4 linked regions of the Drosophila melanogaster genome follow. The protein of the gene in region 2 purifies or fractionates together with the protein of the main gene of each other region. This does not show direct contact. Each region holds a gene or a part of one and is shown on either strand. Other genes may lie near its edges.

Region 1 (8,009 bases), 3.6 Mb from region 2:
AAACAAATTTCGTACAGAAAATATTAAAGAAATCAAAATAGGTGTTCGAAACATCAACTCTTCAAGTTTTTAAAATAAAATCATTTTAAATAAAGTCAAATTATCCTACATCAATGATTTCTTTAATGTTCAAATTTGACTAGCATTTAACTTTTTATAATCAACTATTTTTTTTTTTTCTAATATAACCAAGTACATTTTCACCTATTTTTTCTTCGTGGAAAAGGGATGTTGAATGAGGAGCGAGGATCCGAGCCAAGAGCCGCATACAAATGAGGCGTACCCAATGTTGACAATGAATATTAACCTTGAGTGGTGCCCCAGCCGGTTTTTGCCTGGCCAAGGTCATCTCATCCCATCGCGATGCCAGAGGATGTGGATGCGGAGATGGTGTGATGAGATGGTTGCCGATAATTGCCATGGGCATCGACTGGAGTCGACCTAATGGAAACGCGGTGAATGTCATTCGCGTTGATGTGTGTAATCGATTCTGCAGAGTTGTTTTATTAAATGAAATGCTAAAATGCAATTTATTCGATTCAAAATTACATTGCATGGCTCTTAAACTATTAACGTAACAACCGAATAAATGTTTCATACGACCTTGATGGTACAGATTTCTCGGGACTTATAGCGACAGCTGATACAAATATCTCAGATTGAAAGCCTCGTGTTTGCCCACAGAAACTTTATGAGATGCACTTCGATCCGGAGAAACAGTTTCCACTTCTACTTGAATTCTACTATATAATTTCATTGGTCTTAGCTGCTATCGATTGGGTTCACATGCGAAGTTTGCATTCACAGTCACTTGGCTGGTTTTCCAGTTAGCTATTTGGCTGCTTTGCACCTCGACATTAAGGCAGTTGGAGAACAGCTACGATTGAGACTGGATTCAGACTGCTAACCCAGTTTTAATAATCACGAAGTGGAAGTTACTCCGCGGTAATTACCTTTTGCATTCGCTAGATTTTTCAATTTTTTTTTGCTTTTCGCCTTTTGTTTGCGGCACGAACGGCAGTTTAGCTTTTCGGTGACTGACATATCGCATCGTATAAATCTCAACTTAAGTCGAAATTTAATAATTTTAGAGCCCAGGCATTAGGAGTTTTGCTGGGCTCGAAAATTTTAAATTCTCGCCTTGCTACACCGATGCAACACTGGGAGAAAAGCCCTATGCCTGGTCCTTCTTTTTACGCCCGAATGTCTCTCCGTCCTCCAGGGTTTCCGGCAGTGGAGTTCCACGTGTCTCCGGCAAGAAAATTGTGCCGAGCATTGCCAGAATGGAGAAAATTCCAAAGATCAGGGGCGCCACCCACAGACCGTATGCAGCCAGATCGACGATGAGCGGAGCAACAATGGAACCTATTCGACCGACCATCGAGCAGAGACCAACCCCACTGGAACGCACAACCGTGGGAAAGAGCTCTCCGCCGTACAAGTAGACATTCGGAAAGGTGATTGATGCGCCAAAAAGTCCAATTGTGGCGCAGGTCACACGCACAGCCTCTGCCTGAGTAGAAAGGCATGCCAATAGGATTAAGCCCAAAGCACTGCATCCATTGGAAAGAAGCAGGGTCTTCTTGCGTCCGAGGTACTTGGTCATGAGCGCACAGAGGCATGTGCCTGGAATGCCCACTCCGGCGGCGATTGCATTGCTGATGAAGATGTTGCCGCCCAGCGCGGAGACATACTGAGCGGTGCCGTAGTAGACCATGCAAACCACTAGCCAATTGTTTGCCATGAATATGGTCTTTATCCGCATATAGGGTGTCCGGAATAGATCCACGACGGTGCCTTTTTTGACCGGCTGGCGGGCTGCCAGTGCCCCATAGGCAGCTTCGATCTCCGGCCGAATCGTTTCCGTCGGAGCCTTATTACACTTGGCGATCTTCTCCAGAATCTTTATGGACTTGTCCAGCTTGCCGGTGGTAAAGAGCCAGCGTGGCGACTCGGGAACCAGCCAAATGTAGATCACGAACACGATAGAGAAAATGGTGATGCTGAACTGGAACCAGCGCCATTCTCGAATAAAGTAGGCAAACAGGGCCAGGGAGGCGTGGCCGATGTTAAAGGGGATTTGGTAGAGAATGGCTACCATTTCGCGCTTTTTGGGTCCCACGATTTCCATCAGCAAGACGAAACTGCGGATGGGATTAGTCATTTATATTACTGGGAATATCCTTGGTAGTGCCTTTACACCCACCTGGTGGTCATCGTTCCCGCCGTGGCCACAGCCACCAGGAACCTAAAGAGGCAATAGAACCAGTAGTAGGGGGATACGCAGACGATGAGGCCAGTGATCAGCTGCATGAAGCAGCACGTCAGGAAGGCAGGGCGTCGTCCATACCTGGGAATTGAAAAATTCTATAGTAGGCGGACTAACTCAAAAACAGAAAAATTGTTTTAAAACTAATAAATAGGTGTTCGCTAATGGTCCACCAGTTAATCTAGTGGTTTAACTAGTAAGCCAGCAAAGGCTCTATTTTACCGACTTGCTTTCAGGTTTCTTTTAGCATAAGAAAACTTATTAATAATCTTGAGATACTCACCGATCAGCGAACATGCCAAACAGAATACTCCCGAACAAAATGCCCAGCATGACGATACTTTGGGACAAGCTAGCCAGCTGTTTGCTTTCGCAGGTGAGATTCCACTCGGTTATGATGGTGGATTGGAAGACGCTAGTGTCGAACTCGGTCTCGGAGCATTCGTCACTGCAGGGATCCGTGACGTTCTCTGTCTTGCAGGATAACGGCGTTGGTGCTGCGAGGAATATGTGGCCGAGGGTGTGCCATCCCGTGCCAAATTTGCACAGTAGAACGATGAAGAAAAAGAATAACTGGTAGCGCCGGAAGTCGCCGATCTGCGAAATTATCGGATCACCTGTCTTGGTGACGGGTTTCAGTGGCTTTGGAGCCTTTGGATCCTGCGGTCGATCGGCCATGTTGCTGAAAACTAATGATTTTTGGCTGTCAGTCAAAAAAAAAGTGTATATTTTGAGTGTTTGTAAAATATTCTAAATTTGTTTTTTTCAGTGCAGTGGCCTACCAAGCCGACTGGTTTCTTAGTGGGTGGACTTTCTCAAATATTTGCCGGCCTCAGAGCAAATTGGACATATCGACCGGTGCGGCTCAGTGCAGACTGGCGTGAAATATGGAACCCGGGCAGATGGAGATTTCGTTTGCGACCGGCCACCAGAGAACCGGTTTTCGCGGAGAGAGAGCTCCAGTCTGTGGCAGCGTGACAAGTTGGAGCTCAAAGACATAGCAATCGGCGGGGCTGGGGGCATTAGCACTTGGCCGCTTGGATCCACCGCCAAAATGGCATTTGAAAATAGAAATAGGAGTACGGCCTCCATGCGCCGCTGCAGTTTGTCAGCCCAAAAGGCCAAGAGACTGGGGCTAAGACGCTAAACTTTTACTCTTTAAGTAGGTAAATGAAGTTGGCTGCCTGGTTAATTGAAGGAAGGTGCGCCCGGGGACCCGGCCCGATGATGCTGGGATCTAGCTGGCAGATTAAGCCATTGTCTGCCCGCAGATAACCGAACGAGCCCCAGTTACCCATTAAGATGGCTTAATTAAGGAAGCACTGCCTCAGTGAAAGTTGAACCGGAGAGAGAGACGAAGGTCTGAGATTTCTGGTCGGAGATTCCGCCACAAGTTCCCACGGCAACGACAACCTGTCTGGCGAAGGCATTTGGCGCAATCGTCAGTGGCTGGCAAAATGTCACAACAATTGCAAATAAATTATATATGCAAATTGGCTGGCCAATGAATGACAAAACGCAGCGTTATAATACGATCGCCACATGCTAAATCTGGCAAGACACAAAGCGCTCACTTGGGAACTAAACAAATGCCCAATGTTTAAAGCAATGCCATTGTCTGCATTCATGGCATTTGAATGTTGTCCTGCTCATTTCAATTGCGATTAACATATTTTACCTCATTTATATATGTGAGGCAAAAAGCACTTACCTAAAGAGCCGATTTAAATGGCAATCAAAACAAAAACAGTTATAAGTAGGTCGAAACCAATTCTATTTATATTAAGTAATCGGAACTTTTCGGGGGCTTGTCTACCGCCCGAGTTATATAACTCAGCAAGTTGATTGATAATACTCTGTTCGCAATCTCGCACTTTTTGAACTACGTCTGGTGGGCTTCGACGCTCTACTATCAATGGCAGAAAAATCTCATCTTGTCTCGCCGGATGAGAAAAGCAACTGAGATGGCGATAAAGTCGTGTGTACTTTAATCCCAGATGATAAGAGGCGTTCGACAAGCGTCGCGAATATGACAAATAATGCCAAATGCCCTGAACTTCTGGCCAACTTGTGCGAGATAACACGTATATATTGTTTACCTGCAGAAAGCCTTTGGGCAAATGTTAATCATATAATCAGTTGAGCACACATTCAGCTTAGCCTACCTTATAGCTCCTGTATTCCAAAATAGATGATGTTTTGTATAAATTAATAGAGATGTCTCGCCGTGAATCCGATAGCTGATCACAATGAAATCCAAACATAATCACGCAGTGTTCATCAGTTTAGCACGCGTTTATCAAACTCCAAAATGTTTGGTTTACCCATGATATTGAAAGTCCAAATATCAATAAAGCGAGTCGCATTGTTGACTTATTTGGCAAGACGATAATTGAGTATAATTTTAGTAATATTTTTAGTTCCTAAACGTTTCCTGTAGATACAAACTTTTGATTTGTGCAAATCAACTTATTAATATGTTAAGGTAATAAATTATCCTAAAAAGACACATTTTAATTACACGTGACTAATTTTTAAAAGATGTATTGATGTTAAGAGCTACCAGTTCAGTAATGTATTAATATAGTATATATTAACGATGTGTTGTATATTTTGTATGAGTCACATGCTATTTTGAAGTTGAGAATTCCACCAAATATTTACTATACCCTTTATTAATATTATTTATTTATTTATTTAAATCTGAAACTAAAATTTCAAGGCCCAGCCGATATACTGTGTATTTGCGAAACTAAATCCATTTAAATGGCCCCGTTTAATATTTACATTTGGTGGGCTGACAAGTGTTCTAAGCCGATTTCAGTGCCCCGAATGGGCCGGCAAGCGGACTGTTTGGGCCAGATATTTTCCAGGGGATATATATATGGCCCGGCAACGCTCCAATTAGCACACAAAAGGATTACAGGGGAAATGCCAAATTTCTGGCGCTGCACAGAGAAGCACTTGGCAAGGCCAACAAATGTTTTGGGCCGGCTTTGGAGCGCTTTGCGGTTTTTCTTCCATAATTGCCGAACGGGCTAGGTCCGAACAGGCCAGGTCCGAGCTGAACTGAACTGAAGTGGACAGTGGTCGAGTGGACGAGGATTGCGAGGAATCCACTTGAGGTCCAGCGAGCAAATCAAGCGGCAGGCATTTAATTTCAAACTGCCCCCTCATCCGAACACACCATGGTGCAATCAAAATATTTTATAGGTTGGCCATAAAGAAATTCATAAAGCGAACGGCAGCAGCAGAATCAGCAGCAACTGCAACTCTGCCAATTCATACGAAAATTGCTAACTCAGCGCTCACATATATCATTTTTATGCGCGGCCACGCCCCTTTCAGCTCGTAGTAAATTGACAAATGCAGCGCGCCAAGTCTGTGAGATGTCTTTGCCACTATTTAAGGTCTTTCACGAGGGGATCGAGGTGGAGTTGGAGGTGGAGCTGGATGCTGCATGGCAATGAAAAAGCGCACCGAAAACTATGAGCAACGCTTAGCGAAATAAAAGTGCTTGTAATATGTAGTTAAAATCCAAGTAAGGCGATTAATGCGAGAGCATGGCGACTGGGAGATGCTCTCCAATGATTATCTCAGAAACGAAATAGATAAATATTTAGTGAATTTTAAGACTTCTAATAACAAGGTAGAGAAATTTCAAGCGGAAAACTTACCTGTGCCAAGACTAGCTCCTTTCTGGATCAGCACTTCACACCTGCCAAGTGTTCGCTTCCAACTGCGAAAAATCAATATACTCACCTTACTTTATAAATGGAAAAATTGCCAAACCACCCTTGAAGCAGAAACACACCTTAACCTGCCTGTTTACTTATCGAGCATCTGCCTGTCTGTCTCACTGCAATTAGCTACCTGAGTGAAGGGAAAATGCATCAAAGTGTTTGAAAGTAATGAAAGTACGTGTTTCATTCATTAGAATTATAAAAGTATGCCACACCATATGATTAATAATATGGATACTCGTACACTTTTTGTATCGTACACTATTATATCATCTTCTTTACTTTATTAGCTTAGATTGCTGAAATGCCCAGTCTGAGATTGCAGGGTATGCGTTGTGAGAAGAAGCAGCTAGAAACAAAGAGCCGCATCAACGGTTTTGGCTCTGGTTGCCTTGGCTTTTTACCCCGTCCGTCCTCTGTAATCGCCCCTTAGTTCTTCTCTAAATCCTCTTTGATTAAGTGCTCAGTCTTTTATGTGGAGATTTTTTAATCGTTACCTCGTCCTCCCAGCAACGAGGAGGACCGCAGTCCGCAGTCTGTTGTCCGAAGGGCGTCCATGTGACCATGCCCCGTAGATTAATCGCTAATCTGTCCCTAGAGGGCGTACTGACATTTTTAAAAACTGCGCACTGTCCAGCAGAGCCAAGGAAGCTGCCTCATGGCTGTCCACTTCATCCCGGGCCATTTGAAGATGTCTTTGGTTTTTATTGTCGGACGGCACTTGGGCACTTCCATCATTCCCATTCCCATTCCCGTTCTCGTTTTCTTTCGAGGATCCGTAGGACTCGCATTCGGACCACGATTCGCACCTCTTATTCAGTGCCTTTTCAGCCGCCCTTTTTGGCTTTATAAATAAATTAATAAATTTTAGCCAGCATTAATTATTGTGCTGCTTGGTCGGGTGCGCAGATTAATGTTTTAATTTCGCTAGCCTAGGCTTCGATTAATTTATGCGCGCCCTGTTTGCAATTTGTGCGCCATTTTTTGAGTAATTTCGCCTGGCCGGGGGCGATAAAGTGCATTAACATGGAATGCGGCTGCCGCTGCGGGCAGCTAAAATTGTTAATTTCGAAGCATCATAAAACGCGGCGATATGTTGCAGTTTCGTTGCCGGGCCCCTTTCAATTTACACTGGACGAACTAGCCGGTCGTCCTAATGTGTGTCACATAAATCAGCGGACGGCTCATCCAATGCGGCTGCCCATTTCGGTGGTTTCGGGGCTAGGGATTAATCCCAGAAGCTGGTGGGGTTGATGATGAGCGGTCTGCCAACACTTCACAGATTGATGAGTGACCTGATCATTAGTTGTTGGCCGACTAGGTCGTTGCTGCTTAATCGGTTGAATACTTCGTTAAGACCAGATTAAATTCAGGTTTTTATCGCACTTAAGTCATTTATACACTAATCACTTTCAGGAAAAGTATTAGGTTACCCATTAAACAATTTTTAGTTAATGAGCTTTATACCTATGAAGAACCATTTATCCAGCTTACTAAATATGGAAGTAGAAACAGTATGACTACTAGTTCAGGGTTCATAGAAACTTTTGGTTTTTCAAGGTACATATGTAGGTATCGGTTCTAATGAATTTGATGGCCAGCAGCCTTGTCGGGCCTTGTGTTACCTGATTTACGCGTGACGGGCACGCAAATCGAGGCGTTTAATTTCCGCCGCCGACAGCAGTTCTCACCGCAGCCTGTCAGTCAGCTGGGCAGCTGTCATAATACCGCTCAGCGAACCACCACCCACGACCGCCGATGACCTCCGACCCAGGAGTACTGATTCTCGGGGCTGTGGCAACATCAACCTCTTGGATGGCAGTAGACCAAAAGGTAAATAAACCCCTTGCCAGGGCCGCAGCTTTATGCATAATTAGCTTTTGCCGAGCGAAACACTGGCTCCGTGCGAATGTTGCAAAGTTTTAATTTATGCCTAGGTTGGCGGGAGGAATCGGTTATAGTTTGCCGTTCAGTTTGCTTTACAAACTGCATAAGCA
Region 2 (7,236 bases):
AGCAACAATCCTGGCAACAGACAACGAGGAATGGTGGTAAGTGGGATACGGAAACACGCAAAGAAAAAATATCACCCGAGGCTATAAAATATAATTTGGCATCTAAATGAAGGTTAAGAATGACATAACCAGGTGATCAGTCAAATTAGAAGTTCATTTTTGCAAGATCACTTGGTACATGTATTAAAAATATATTTACATATATGCTCAAATCGCAGATAAACATTATTGTATAAGTATATATATTTTTCAATATATCCTTTTCAGCGGAATCAAACGTCCACATGCTTTTCAAACTGAATCTCCATATTATGATTCATGACATGTAAAATGATACGAAATTGATATGTGAATGTTATTATCTAATTTATCTAGATATAAAAGTTCAGATTTTAGTAATGGCTGTGTGTAATGATCTAATGGCGGAATGTAGCTCATGATAATTAACCACTCATGTTTAGGCTGTAACATATGCTTGATATACTCCATAATGTGACTTGCAGAATAGCAATGACAGAGAACTTAGCACGTTTTGTTTCCAGTGCACAACTACGTACGTATGTTTATTTTTAGCAACGAAAGTCAAGTTGCTGCGGGCCAAAAGGGAAGCACATATAGAGATATAGTTAGATATATGGATAGATAGGGAGGACGACGAGCAGGAGTTACCGACTGTTATGCTGCCATGTTCATGTTGAACTGATGACGTGGATTGGACCGAGTCCAAGGGAAATGCGAGGATAAAGGACAGAGGGACGATGAGCGGAGGGCTCCAGCCAACGCGTCGCCAGGCGAATGGAGACAGTCTGACTGGCCAACGGCTGGCGCTAATGGAGAGGGCCTGGGGTCCAGGTCCTAATCCATATCCCGATTCCAAGCCCATACCCATATCCAAATCTAGATACACATCCAGTTGGGGTAGTCCAAATCCAATACAGGAAATTGCAGCGACGAAAACAAAAGACAATAAAAAATGGAACAAAGGAGGAAAACAAAGTTTTGACGATATCCTCGCCGCAGTGGGTGTGCGCCCAAATTAATTAATAATAATGTGCTTGCCGGGGGGTGGAATGTGGGTGGGTGGCTGGCACCGGCTTGGTGAAAGTGGGTGGCTCGGGAGACCTTGCACACAGACATACAGATAAGCACGCGCTGGAATTCCAGCAGCTGTTTGGCCATTTGAATTTCCGCCTTATTGGCCGTGTTTGAGTTTTGCCTACAGTTTCGTAGAGTATATATATCATGTATAATATGTGCTTGGTTTTCATCAAGGTCCTTGTTGCACGCAATACGATTATTTATTAATCCTCGTGCAGCGCATCAAAGTGTATTTGCTTGTTTTCGCACAACACGATCTATTAATCAGCGAAATACGTGCCTTATGGCAAAATAACCGAAAAGTATTTCAATTTTTAAACAACATTTTCCAACTTTTTTTGTTTACCCAAAGAGCGAAAGAGAATTTTGTGTTCTCTTTCAATTTTCAAAGCGCCTATTGCGCTCTTTTCACCACTCGCTGTGGTGAGTTGCTCTCGCAATGTCAGCTGTTCGTTGACAGTCACATGACAGTTTTTCGATCGATAATTTTCCGCTGCTCACGGGTTTTTCATTTAAGCACAAAAACCAAAACACTTTTCGCACATTTTCCCGACTCCCCGCCCCCAGCCCACACGATCATCAGCTGGATATTTCCAGATACATCCGCAGACCTCGCGGCAATCTGCCGTCGAACGAAACGCAACAAACTGGCGAACTCTTTTTTTCAGGGTCACACTGCTTCGACAAAAAATCATAGCCACATTGCAAAAACTAATTTTCTCACTATCTTCAATAATCTACAAGAGATTTGCGCACTTTTCCTGGTCAGCAGACCTACTGCGATGTAGTAATCGGTCTTTTTTTTCGGCGGGGGGTAACTTTTGCACTTTTCACGGCGACGTGGAAAACCCGCCGAATTAACTATTTCTTACGGTTGGCACTTACTTTTCAGCGAATATGGTTGATTGTAAACGAAGCAGGTGTGCTTTTTGTGCTATTTGAAAACAGCAAGTGCGTTTTTCTTTGCCAAAAAATCAGCGCAAATCGACCGCCGCCACCCACAAATGCGAACGAAATTGTGTGGTGAGAAAAGCGCTGGCGAAAAAAGTGACAGTTCACAATGCCCACGAGATTCACGTGATGGCGCCAGTGTTGCTTAGCCAGCGAGCCAAACAGCTGACTCCGCCAGCAGCTGTTCCAGCGCCGCGCGCTCTCCAACACTGCCTGCGGCTAAGGTGCCGCAGTTTCATTGCTTAATTTTATTCCAGATTAGTTTAGTTTAAAACATATCGCCCGCCCTGGACCATTAATATTAGCAAGTAAGTTGATTGCGAGTGCGAGTACTGTTCGTGCTGCGCTGGATGAGGGCTGTGGGCGTGGCAGGTGGTCAGTTTGGGCGCTGATGTAACCAGAAGTCGGAGGAACATAATATGTGTGCAATTAGAATTGGTTATTGTAAATTGGGAAAAGCTGTTTCACAGTGTTTTTCCAGCCGTGTGTAATAGTGTAGATTTAAAAATTATCAACATCCAGTGATATGTGTCACCTCATAGATCAGTTTCATAATCCTGACCCCTAAACTATGCTTATCTCCCGGCTCTCAAATACACGTGTATTTCTATCGGGAACATCCCGACCTTTGACCTCCTCCTCCTCCTCCTCCTCCACCTCCGCACCCTCCTGCAGCCGAAAAAGAAAAGAATGACTCAAGAGCAATCAATTAGCCAAGTGCGCAGCAGTTCCAGGAAATGTTTATTCAAATATTTCCCAATTCCGAAGTGCTAAAAATAAGCCCACAAAACCACAACAGTGCCCCGTTCCCTTCCCTTCGATGACTCCTTTTCCGCATAAACAGCGCATCAATTTCCATTCTTAAATCCACGGGCTGCTTAGGAACACCGGGTGAGCTGTATTCCACGCAGGCACTCGAGGAATTAATGACTTAAATCACTTAAATTGCTTGAAATTAGAGTTTCATGACTTTGGATAATGATTCATACTCTTTTGCACAATAGGACAAAGTATTCTCTTATTTGTTAATTTTACTTACTTTAACTAAACTGTATTAATTAACTTAAGTACGACTCAAGTAATATCACAACTACTTAAAGTAGTCTTGTTATTATCTTACTTTAAGTGATTTCTGTAGAATATTTTATCAATTACCAATTGTGTTCAGGTGATTTGAAATCACGTTTCAAGATAGTGTTCAGAAAAGATGATAATCCAATTTAAGTTATACCAGTAGGAAAATTAGTAGAACTCAAATTATAAATAATTTTCTATTAATAATTCCTAAGGGCACGTCTTAAGTAATTAATCGGAGAAAAGCTATTGGAAGTCACTTCCCAGTTTTTGTCACTGAAATGGACAGAGTGTCACATCTTATTCGGTGGCATTTTTAAGGAAGCCGCTTTGTTTCGGCCTTATCAGCGATGGACAGCCTTTGATCTTTACCCCATCGCAAAAGGCCACGACTATCGATGTGCATATCTATATAGTCTGGCGGCTTCTTAGTCCCCGACGATTGTGTTTCGTGCTCGCTGGCCGTATCTAAGCGATAAATATTTCCCGTAATTATGCACGATCGCTATTTGTTCGCCGAGCGCTTTCAGCAATTGGCATTGACTTACAGCGCCTATTCTCGCCTCTGTGTTTGCTCGGTGGCTAGGTGGCTTCGTTGGCTAGGTGTCTGCTTCTCCACTGCCAATTCCGTCGTCATGGTCATATTCATATGCCAGTGCAGCGCCTCCAGTGCCGTCAGTCCGCGGAGAGATCCGATCGAGTGAGCTTCGCGCTACCCAGCCTTTTTTCACAAATCCACAAAGTTCCGGGCCGAAAAGTGAAAATCTATAGTCAATAGGCCAGTAGTCGCAGGTGCTAAACGTAACGGTAAATATGTCAACCGCTTTTCGGGTTTGGGCCACACTCGCACCTCTTATCGGTTATACAATATGGACGCGTGTGATTGAGGGAGAGTGGTGGTTGGTGCTTAGTGCTTGGTGGGCATGACCCACTTATGGGTGAAGACGCTCCCAGCCTGTCCCACAATGCTCCACCGAGCAAAATTCCATTCTATTTCGATAGGAAATCATAATATTTCGATCATCATTTTGATTTAATTATAATTTGCGCCTAACTGAAATTAAAATGTGTGAAAATGTAGAGAAGTTTCAGGGGAAGCGGTTTTGAAAAAAGAGTTATTGTGTTAAAGTAATCATTTTTGTAGCTTGTTCTCTGACAAAAAAAGTTTAAAAGAAATGATTATCTATTGTAAATAAATGTAATCATAAATTCTCTGCGTGTAGCCACAGCATCCACGCCCCTGTCCCTTTGGCTCTTTGGGCTTGTCTTGTTGGCTTACATTTATTGCGATGCGTGTGTTTTGGCTTACTTCACAGCGGTTTAGTGTTCTCTTTTGTGGAGCTCGCCTGAGCGGGGGAAACTTTCTCCGCTCCGGCGGCTCTCTCTCCCTCTCTCTCTCTCTCTCTACACGCTCAGTTTCTCAGCCAGGGAAATCAGTTGGCCCCCAAGACGGGGGCCTCTGGCTGGCAGACTTTGATGACTTCTTCAGCCGCAGCCAAAGTCACTGGCTTACACACGTCCAACGCAGCTCGAGCGTGCAACAGGTTGTCTCTGCCCTCGTCCAATTTGTAAGCATTATAAATACGCCGTGATTGCGCGGGGAGAAAGTTTCCCAATGCCAATTGGCAGTGGAATTCGGGCCACATCGAGAACTCTGCTTAAATTAAATTAAACAAGGCCTTAGCTCCCAACATCATGAAGCAATTTCGAAACGCAAATAGTGATTGTTATAGTTGTTAATAACAAAGATATTGAATTAAATATTTACTCTCATGCCAAAGCTCCCACTAAAAGTATACAAATTGTCTCTCTTACAGAGCTCAGGATTAAATAGATAACCGGATACAATCATGGCATCCCACTGGCCCGAGAACGTTGGCATACGCGCCATCGAGATTCTCTTCCCCTCCCAGTACGTGGACCAAACGGAGCTGGAGACCTTCGATGGTGCCTCCGCGGGCAAGTACACAATTGGCCTGGGCCAGGCCAAGATGGGCTTCTGCTCGGACCGCGAGGATGTCAACTCTCTCTGCCTGACGGTTGTGAGCCGCCTGCTGGAGCGGCAACATGTGAAGCACTCGGAGATCGGACGACTGGAGGTGGGCACCGAGACCATTGTGGACAAGTCGAAGTCGGTGAAGTCCGTGCTGATGCAGCTGTTCGCCGAGAGCGGGAACACGGACATCGAGGGCATCGACACCACGAACGCCTGTTACGGCGGCACGGCGGCGCTCTTCAATGCCGTCAATTGGGTGGAATCTTCTAGCTGGGACGGCCGCCTGGCTTTGGCCGTTTGTGCTGATATCGCCGTGTACGCCAAGGGTGCAGCGCGCCCAACTGGTGGTGCGGGTGCTGTGGCTATGCTGGTGGGTCCAAATGCGCCGCTTATCCTCGATCGTGGACTACGCGCAACGCACATGGAGCACGCCTACGACTTTTACAAGCCGGACCTCAGCTCCGAATACCCAACGGTAGATGGAAAGCTCTCTATTCAGTGCTACCTTTCTGCTCTGGACACCTGCTACAGGCTGTATCGCAAGAAGTTCGACCAGCAGCAGAAGGATACTTCCAAGCAGCCGGCCAGCCTGAGCACCTTCGATGCTATCCTATTCCACACACCGTTCTGCAAGTTGGTGCAAAAATCTGTGGGTCGCCTGAGCTTCAACGATTTCCTGCTGAGCAGTGAGGAGGAGCGAACGAAGCAGTTTCCCGACCTGGAACGTTTTAATACCGCTACCCTGGAGAGCACCTACTTTGATCGCGATGTGGAGAAGGCCTTCATGACGCAGTCCGCCAACATCTTTGCCAGCAAGACCAAGAAATCGCTGCTGCTGGCCAACCAAGTGGGCAATATGTACACACCCTCGGTGTACTCCGGTTTGGTGTCTCTGTTGATTAGCGGACCAGCCCAGGAGCTGGTGGGAAAGCGCATTGGTTTGTTCTCCTACGGATCCGGACTGGCTGCTTCCATGTACTCGATCAGCGTGACCCAGGATGCAGCTGCTTTCGAAAAGTTCGTCTCGCAGCTGGACTACGTGCAGCCGTTGCTGAATTCACGGGAGAAGGTTGCGCCCGAGCAGTTCTCCGCGCTGATGGAGGTGCGGGAGAAGAACAACCATGCGGCGCCCTACACGCCAACGGGCAGCATCTCCGCACTGTTTCCCGGCACCTACTACCTGAAGGACGTGGATGCGCTGCATAGACGCACCTACGAGCGCACACCGACCATCAGCAATGGGGTGCACTAACCCCGGGCTATGGTTCCTTCGGTTTGGTTTCGGTTTCGCCTACAACTTGACAATAACTCTAACTCTCTCGACCAAACCCATGTAAGCAGTAGCTGTAGATGGTATCTATTTATAACTGGTATGATCCCGAGGGGTCGCTATCCTTTTTGCTCTTATTCGGGTCCTTGTCGCGTATATAGTACTACACTTCTTATTTATACAAGCTTGCGAATTAACTCTTTCATCCAGTCAGACCTTATTTATATCATGGAACAAGTCTTAACTAGCGTCGGTACTGCAATCTATGCCTATAATTGTACAATACTTATACCTGTGTGTAATGCACACAATCAATTGTTTAATAAACAATAAAAATCAACAAAGTCAAACTCTTCAGTGATTACCTGGTATTTATTGTCGGAATTAACTTATTACACAGATCATCGATGCAACGTCAATGGACAATGTGGAAATAGTGTGTATATAAGAGCATATTCGATTTGATGGCAGCGGCTGATTTGCATATCTTGGGCTTACAACGCTGTAAACTTGTAGAAAGTTACGCCTGGGGGAGGGGAAAATGAAGTAAGTCAGGGCTAGTTAGTGTTTTGCAACGGATTTTACCATTGGGATTGACGCGTGTGATGAACTGACTCTCAGACTGGAAGACGCCCAACTTGCTGCTGGCATCGTACAGATCCTGCACATTATAACCCTTGGGATTCGTCAATCCGAGCTCCTTGACCGTGAAGGGGATCCTGTAGGGAGCGCCATCATCTCGGCGACTGACAAAGGCGACAGCATAGGAGTGATGTCCACTCTTGGTTACTGGCGTAATGGGACGCTTCCAGACTTCGATTTGGTTGCGGGACAAAACACGGCGCCC
Region 3 (4,554 bases), 1.2 Mb from region 2:
TTTATTCTGCGCACTTATGCCACGTTTGCAATGTGAAGCTAATTTGCATATGCTCAGACATCTGTAATATAATAACATATGTACATACATATGCGGGATTCATTTTGTGGGTAAGCAAGGGAAGTTTTGATTAAAATTGGCCCAAGGCCTGCATATCGCCCACTTTACGAGTATTCGTGGCTTGCACTTCAACTAGACTATGCGCACTTCAGCTTGATTGTTATGGTACTATCTCTAAGATAAAAGGTGGTATACACAAAACTTTATTGCCATCCCAATTATACACTTTAATTCTAGAATTTATAATTTATTCATAAATTCCATACTTTTTAAATTCAAAAGTTCTAAAGCATTGCAAATTAAGTGGGAGATTTTGGGATACAATAACTAAGCAATACAGGGAACTACAAAGGAATCGCAGACACAATAAAAGCTAAACCAATTCATTTGTCTCACGCACACCATCGCAGCGTCTTCACTCATACATAAGCCAAAGAGCCAACTCCCAAATATTAATGCCAAGACAAAAAGGAAGCCAGATGACAGCTGAGCTGTACGAGATGCAAAAGCTAGTTGCTTTTATGAATTGCTATATATACTCAAGGGAGCGGCCGGTGCTCATTGATATTTTTATGGGCCAGGTTTTCTGCTTGAATATATATTCTTTTTATTTGCATTCATTTTGGCTGGGCTTTCTTCATTCAGCTGTTTGTGCCTGGTTACACGCAATGTGTATGTATGTGTGTGTGTGTGTGAGAGAGTCCTTTGGCCTGCGCTGGTGTGAGTGTGGCCATTCCTTTCTCGATGATGATGCCATTGCCTTGGCTGCCTTTGCCGCTCTTTGGATTCTGGTTGTGTTGCCACCACAACGGTTTCTGCGGCGCCTCTAAGCCACATTCCTAGCATGGCTGTGTGCGTGCGTATCTGTGAGTCGGATTCGGCAGTCGGTTTGTTTATTTGCGAAAAAGTTTGCAGCCAGCGCTGGCTAACAACAACAGAGGCAGCTGCTGCCGTTGCCGCCTGGATAGAGCCACTCTCTTCTCGGGTCTCTTTTTTAGTCCCTTGCTAAACAGTAGTATACATGAAGGAAAAATTATTTAGAATAAATATTTAGACAAAAAAGTCATTTATTTGCCACTTAATACATCGTTGTAATATTGTTCATTTATAAGAAGCTTATTGAAATTGAATTAATTCATTGATTTGTAGATCCCAACATAAACTTAAATATCATATCCTGATTTTGTGATTATTGCCAAAAAAAATCAGAGGAAAAGTGGCTTTTGTTTAACCATTTATTTTTATTTTATTTAATTTCTTTGAAATTTTGAGACAATTAAGTTCTACACATACATGTATAAACCATATATTTTTGCCCACTGTGAGTCCTGCGAGAGAGCGGGAGAGAGAATTCTCTCGCTTCCTATTCCTATCTCTCCTCGAGGTCCTGGCTCTCTGTTTCCCTGGGCTTTGTGTGTCGTTGCCTGCCGGCTGGCGCGTCGCTGCTTGTTGAGCTCGAAACTCCAGCTCCTGCAGGATGTGGGGATATCGGGCATTCGGGGTCCGTGGCATCCGCAGTGAGGACGCGTCGCCGGCGCCGTTCAGTGTCAAAGTCAGTTGTGCCTGAGCTTGTGCCAGAGACAGTCAGTTTCGCTGCGAGTCTGCCATCCAGCTGGTTTCCGCTTCCGGTTCCGTGCGAGTTCTTTGGCTAGTAAATTGTGGTTGTGCACCTTTTTCTAATGACTTTTGTAAACACCAAAGTTTTTTGAACAAAAAAAATTACCGAGGCACAACGTATTTTTGTAAACATTTAATGCGAAAAAGGTTTCAGCTCGCGAAAGTCAAAGTGCAAATTGGCCCAGAAACAACAAGTATCGTTTATAAACTAGTTTCCAGTTCGGATGTGTGTGTGTGTACTATAGTGTGTGTGTGTGCAATTGATTAAACAACACAAGGGTAACCTAGGCCAACTGGAAGCGTAGAGACTCCATCAAAAGCCGCGGACTAAATTGCCAAATCCTCGATCCAATAAGATGGGCTGCAACACCAGCCAGGAGCTAAAGACGAAGGATGGCGCAGCCATGGATGCGGTCAGCAACGGCGAACCGGAGCCCAGTGCTCCTCCCTTGGAGGGCGAGTCATCCAAGTCATCCGCTAGCAATCATACGAATCACGCCAAATCCAGTTCAATTATCTCCAACGGCGAGGCGAAGGCGGCCAACGGGGGCGGCGCAGTTGGCGGGGGGAGTGGCAAGTCGGAAGCAACAAATGGCATTGATCGTCCCTGCGACAAGGCGGCAATCACGGAGTTCAATGACGACGAGGACGAAGGTAAGGCCCGTTCAATCTCCGATATCCAATACATTCATATTAACGACTGTTCAACATTCGGTGTGCGTGCGTGTGTGTGGGTGCACTTGGAGAAAATGTTCATCACATCAAAGTGTGGTGATTTTCCTTACTTTCTGAATTAAGAAAAATCTTTACAGCTATAGTAAAAAACCGAAATTGTACAAATATTTAAAGAAGCGAAGAATAGACACTAAATTTTTTTTAGTTTATAGGACTTTTTTTCGGTGTCCTGTGTGTGTGCGGATGAATGAAAATCCTGTGTCCAGGGGTTCGAGTATTATTTACTGTATCAACACGCTGGGAGCACGGCGTTATCGCATTTGCCTTTTTTCTTTGCCACTTTTCCATTTTCCCCCAGTTTTCCGGGCTCCCCGCGGCCCGCTGCTTAATGGTGTCGCAAATATGAATTGTTTAAGTGTATACACATATATGTATATATAAATTTATATATAAAGGGATGTTTGCATTTGGATGTATACACTGCACTCCATTACACGCCACTACATCCGCAAGCGCTTTTATGCGCCCGATGGCAAATTTGTGTTAGGTCCTTAACTTTGTTAAGTAGCCGCCTCGTTGTCCCACAGTCGCCTTGGGCATTTTTTTTCCCCAATGCGCATTAACGTAGGTTATGCTCCTGTTTATGGTATCTAATAAGCGTAGTCAGAAGTCACTTTTATGGCCAGCGATATGGGCCGCAGGATAACACAAATTCCATAGCTTGCTTTTGGGGGCACAATTTAGTTTACGACATATGATTCGCAGTAAAGTGATAATAACGTTTACTTTGCTTGAAAGCAAAAAACCTTTAACGACATATCAAAAATTGTCTACTTTTCTATAATATTTGCTTACAATACAAAAATGTATAATTAATTCTATTTATAAATGTACACGTAAAGTTATGGCCTCATTTGTTATTCTTCTATTGTACGAAATTAAATTTTAGTTGGAAAAATAACTCGAATTATTTAAAACTTCTGCCATAATTCACTGGAAATTTTATATACTTGCCTCCTGAAAATACATACATATCCAATTATTTTCAATTTACTTAGTTATTCATTTAAATTTTCACCACAATAACTTTTTACTCAGCCCAAATTTGGATGCAAAGTTCGGGGCTAATACCATTTGCAAACCCCAAAAAAAGGAGGAACTTTGTGCGGTTTATTTGCTCCTTTTTGATATAATGAAAATATGAAAAACCATCGAGGTGCACAGCGTTTCCAGAGACTGACTCATAAATTACCACAGCCAGCTTTCCCTTGTGGCAGGTGCAGCAGTAGTAGTGGCAGAAACTGTTTGTTTTGCCGCCGTTTTCCGCACGTTTTCCCGCTCCCCTCCCAATTTTCATTTCCCAGTTTCCCAAAGGGAGTGCTGATAAATTGTATAGCGACACTTTATCAATGGCTGACTGCACGGGAAAAGTTAGCCAGAAAATTTCGCTCCCTGTTAATGCCACAAATTATTATTATTGCTTAGCAATTTTCCCGCTGCCAACAGCTTTTAATTTGCTGGTTTATGTGTGCTGCTCACTTGGTTTTCCTCGTAACATTTGCCTTGAAATTAACTCAGCTAATTGGGGCTTCTTGGAATCGCTGAAATATTCTGGATAATCCTTGAAAGTTTGTGCGTAGCAAGAAAATTAAATCAGTTCTTATATTCACGGTAAGGCTATTCAATATTCAATTTCATTTGGGCTGTAGTGGTTCATAAATATTCGCCAGCTGCCTTTTCTTTTTTACTTGCCATAAAGTTCCTTACTATAAAGTTTAGGCCGCTCCTCGAACTTTTTTGATTTTCCTCTGCAGCAGCGTAAAAGAAAAGCGTAATAAAACATACAAATAAACTAACGAAAAGAAGTGAAAACCCAAATCAACCATAAAACTGCCGCTCGGTTACGCCATTTATGCCGCCACCCAAAATATTTTGTTAAACAAACACGTAGGCTGTATTTCAAATTGATTCCGCTTGCGAGTGAAACGAAATTAAAAACGTAAATCCGTAAATGCTTAAGTAGAAACTGGGTAAATTTTCTGCGGTCTGTCAAATAATTAAGATATGGCGATGACGAGGTCAATTTCGTTTTATATTTCACTTCCCTTTTCCCCGTTTGGACACGCCCAAAGCGAAATTACCTGCGAATTGCGAATGGGCCAGGAAGGACATAAATTGGCAATAAAGATGTCAACTCATGCA
Region 4 (3,654 bases), on a different chromosome or scaffold from region 2:
AAGGCCTCTCACGTGACTTGGCTATCAAGCAATACCAAATATAGGCAATGACCGACTGAATAGAATGAAATGCCCAACACAAATTATATTGGTAACAATAAATAACATTTGGAGCTACTTGAAATCAGCAAATTCACATGTACAAGCCACTCCAAAAATAGCACCAAATATGTATGTGCCTAAATCACTGATATTAACATTTAGTTTGAAACCCCATTTCTTCCTTGCAACCCCCGATGCTTCTTTTTAGATGAATTCTTAATTATGAGTAAATATATCTTCATGAATACAATTGTTCAAATGCTCTTTGTGAGTACATTCCTTGGAATTCGTTATAAGTGCAACGTAAACAATATTTAAAGAATACCCGGTGGTCGGTCCTATTGGGCATTCTAAGCTGCAGAAGTGTAAAAAGGGTTGGTTTTATTGCTCACCTGGTGTTAATTGTTGCGGCAACAGGTAGTTCTTCTGGTGGAGTAGACTGGTGAACTGGACTGCCGATAAGAAGGAGGCCACGCGCAGAGTTTGAGTTTGGGCAATAGCAATATCGAAATGTAATAAACCAAATACCAGAAAGGCAATTACTCGTTCACTTTCGATTCGATCGGCCGATAAGGAATTTTACAGGGAAAACACGATGTCAACACGTTTAAACAAAGAACAAACGCACTTATTTTCTGTTTGCGCTTAACAAAAAAACAAAAACCCAAATACGAGGATATTTTTTTTTTCGTTTAGTATTTATATCTACTTTGATTCGTTGTTGTTTTTCACGTTTTATGTGTTTGTTTTTGTCCCGCTTGCTCTTTTTTGGGGCGCCTTTCTCGCTCTTGTCCGCTTTAACCGGTTTTTTGGTTTATGTTTATGCTGCTGCTTCTACTGCTGCTGTTGTTGCTGTTTTTGTTTCCCTTGCTCTTGCTTGGCTAAATGGAAAATATGCTGCAATTGCAGCCAGCAAATTGTCGAATGTTTCCAGCCACTTGCTTTGCTACTCGAAATCGATGCCAAAAACTTTAATAACACCCGCGATTGAGGTAAACAAAAGTGTAATAAGCGAAGTGAGGCACACACGCAGGCGCAGAAAAGCAAAAAGGTGAAGAAATATTGGCCGCCAAACAGGTGCAAATGATTCACGATTGTTTTTCCACAATCCACTGTTTATGTTACGATGCTATATCTCCTCAGTTTTCCGCACTGCGACTTGGGGATTTTCTTTGGCTTGGCGAGCGCTTTCCGCGCGGCGATTCGTTTAATTCGAGCGTCTTGTTTGCGATTGAACACCTGTTGCGCGTTCGATTTTCATAAAACTAACTGTGTGACCGTCGGGCGTTAGTTGAAATAAACCATAGCAAGCGTATCCAACCAGGTCTGGCAGCACTGCTGTAAATGTTTAGTTGTAGGCATTTTATAACACTGCACATGAGGCGATTGCACATAAAATATCGAGTTAAGTTTTTCTTCAAGTAGTTTGTTCTTCTGTCTGATGTTAAAAAATTGTTTTTACTTTCGTGCACAGCTCATCCAGCATATGAAATCTAGCTATAGTTTGTCAAACAACATTACTTTAGCAGCAATCGATAGGCGTGCACTTAGATTGAACATTCTATCGCTGCCGTTCCATCACTAATAGACAACATTGTGACGACATTGCTATTTTTGTGTGTTTTGAGTTTCACCACGGCGGAAAATAATGTCGGACCTTTCTTACCTGGACACGTTGGGCAACAAGGAGCTGCTGGCCAAGTGCCTGGAGCACGGCCTGCCCGGTGTTCCCGTGACGGACAGCACCCGCAGCGTCATAATTCGCCGACTAAAGGCCAAAATCACCGGGGTTCCGCTGAACAAAAGCAAATCTGCAAGTAAGAAAGCGATTCCGAGGCGTGAGACCGTACACGGCAGCCAGGTAACGACGCCCACATCGGAGCCAGTGCGTCGTACGCCCGGCAAGAGTGCAGGACGCACTAGCAGCAACAACAACAAGATCAGCGAACAAAGTCGTCGCACAATCGCCTATGGACTAGACAACACCTCGATCTCGGGAAGATCTGTGCAGACTACTACCACGGTGTCGGATATGAGCTCCCAGTCGGAGGACGACGACTCCTACATGGTGGACTCTCCGGTGCCTAATTACTCCAAGGACCAGCAGCCTAGACGTTATGTTTCTCTAGCCAAATCCGGAGTTTTGACCACATCTTACACACGCGAAGTTGACCAGCCGCTGTACGAACAGGAGGATATACCACGCAGCTACACCTACGAAAGACCCCATGTGCCAGCCGCCACTCTTCACGCACTTCCCACATACGAGCCACGCATCGAACCTTCGACATACAGACCCACAGATTTGGGTTTTTCGCGTCCCCTGCTGACTCAAACCAACTTAAACTCAACCAGCTACGAGGAGTCATCTACGTACAATCCAAAACTTTCACCCATTTCGCCAAGAAACACTTTCAGCGGATCCGCTAGGCCTTTTGGTGGCCCAGCACCAGCTCCAGCACCCATTCGCCAGCGACAGAGTGTTCCAGTTAGTGGATCCAATCTGGCCCGTGGTCGCCTGCTCCAGCCGACCACCGCAGTAAACACTCTATATCCACAACTAAATGAATTCTACGATCAGCCGAATGACGCAGGCGAACCCATGGAGACGGAGAGCGAGTCCGAAGTCGAGGAAGTACCCATCAATAGCCATTTCCAAAAGAATCGCTTCTCGCCGCTGGCTAGAAAACCTCTGGTAAGACACCACGATCAGGTTTCGCCTATGGCGCAGTTCCGTGCACTGGCGGTGTCATTGGATCAAAAATATAATCTCAAATTCTACTTAATATTGGTAGTGTCAGTGATGCTGGCCACCATGGTGTACGTGGTATTGACACCCAACGCCTGAGAAGCGTTCATATCGCGGAATACATTTGGTTTTGGTTACTCCACGCATTTCAACCACAGACTACAGCGAAGGAATATTTATGACGACTTTGCACCTTAAGACTACTACTTCAATTCCAAACATGTTCAAAACTAACAAATATTCAACTCAATTTGCCAAGTCTTTAATTGCTTGTTCTCGCATATTGTTTCTTTTTATACATAATTAGAAAAATGTACTACATTATAATTATTGTATTGTATTAAATAAACTAATTAAATGTAAGTGCTCAGTGTGTTTTGTTGCGATTTGTGTTTGTTTGTGGTACTCTCTGACAACGGACCATGGGTTTATTTATGCTTTATGCTACTATTTACACGCCATTTAAATGAACAAAACAGTGTAAAATCGTTAAAGGATATCGGGGATCGCGGCTAGGACATCACAAAGCAAATGGCTGCTGGCTGACTAATTGAAGTGGAACTTGAACTGGAACGGCGACCCGTGTTGGAAGTGTCCAAACGGATGTTCGCCATGGAAGCCGCCACGCTGATTGCTCTCAGGATCTAATGGATCCTCGCCGTTGTCGAATTGACGACGCTTCTCGGGATCCGTGAGAACCTCCTTGGCTGCGGCAATGTCAATAAACTTTTTCTCGGCCACCTTCTTTTCCTCGTCGCGGAAGTTGTCCGGATGCCACTTTTGCGCCGCCTTCCTGTAGGCCTTCACAATCTCCTGTTTGCTGGCGCTACGCTTAACGCCTAATATCTTATAGTAATCCCTGC

What was found.
Region 1: the proteins of Hmgs (region 2) and CG8654 purify together in Drosophila melanogaster (affinity purification with mass spectrometry, with the first as the bait; one large-scale study listed by BioGRID). This does not show direct contact.
Region 3: the proteins of Hmgs (region 2) and igl purify together in Drosophila melanogaster (affinity purification with mass spectrometry, with the first as the bait; one large-scale study listed by BioGRID). This does not show direct contact.
Region 4: the proteins of Hmgs (region 2) and bocks purify together in Drosophila melanogaster (affinity purification with mass spectrometry, with the first as the bait; one large-scale study listed by BioGRID). This does not show direct contact.

What each region holds. Positions count from the first base shown.
Region 1 is NT_033778.4:19,977,247-19,985,255, reverse strand, and holds CG8654 (uncharacterized protein), read right to left. Parts: upstream 6,015-8,009; 5' UTR 5,947-6,014; intron 4,717-5,946; exon of another isoform or gene 4,435-4,716; intron 4,380-4,434; exon of another isoform or gene 3,981-4,379; intron 3,147-3,980; exon of another isoform or gene 3,052-3,146; intron 2,959-3,051; 5' UTR 2,948-2,958; coding exon 2,553-2,947; intron 2,351-2,552; coding exon 2,207-2,350; intron 2,145-2,206; coding exon 1,175-2,144; 3' UTR 361-1,174; downstream 1-360.
Region 2 is NT_033778.4:16,334,507-16,341,742, forward strand, and holds Hmgs (HMG coenzyme A synthase), read left to right. Parts: upstream 1-1,583; 5' UTR 1,584-2,357; intron 2,358-3,795; exon of another isoform or gene 3,796-3,930; intron 3,931-4,608; exon of another isoform or gene 4,609-4,691; intron 4,692-4,933; exon of another isoform or gene 4,934-4,940; 5' UTR 4,941-4,973; coding exon 4,974-6,371; 3' UTR 6,372-6,736; downstream 6,737-7,236. Other genes in the region: CG7997 (uncharacterized protein), read right to left, coding at 6,884-6,915, 6,975-7,236.
Region 3 is NT_033778.4:15,153,885-15,158,438, forward strand, and holds the start of igl (igloo), read left to right. Parts: upstream 1-1,552; 5' UTR 1,553-2,033; coding exon 2,034-2,331; intron 2,332-4,554.
Region 4 is NT_033777.3:9,588,966-9,592,619, reverse strand, and holds bocks (bocksbeutel), read left to right. Parts: upstream 1-1,617; 5' UTR 1,618-1,690; coding exon 1,691-2,890; 3' UTR 2,891-3,152; downstream 3,153-3,654. Other genes in the region: P58IPK, read right to left, coding at 3,338-3,654. UniProt on the Drosophila melanogaster protein: Inner nuclear membrane protein. May have a role in maintaining the structural integrity of the nuclear lamina. During pupal development, plays essential and redundant functions with the other LEM domain proteins; MAN1 and Ote.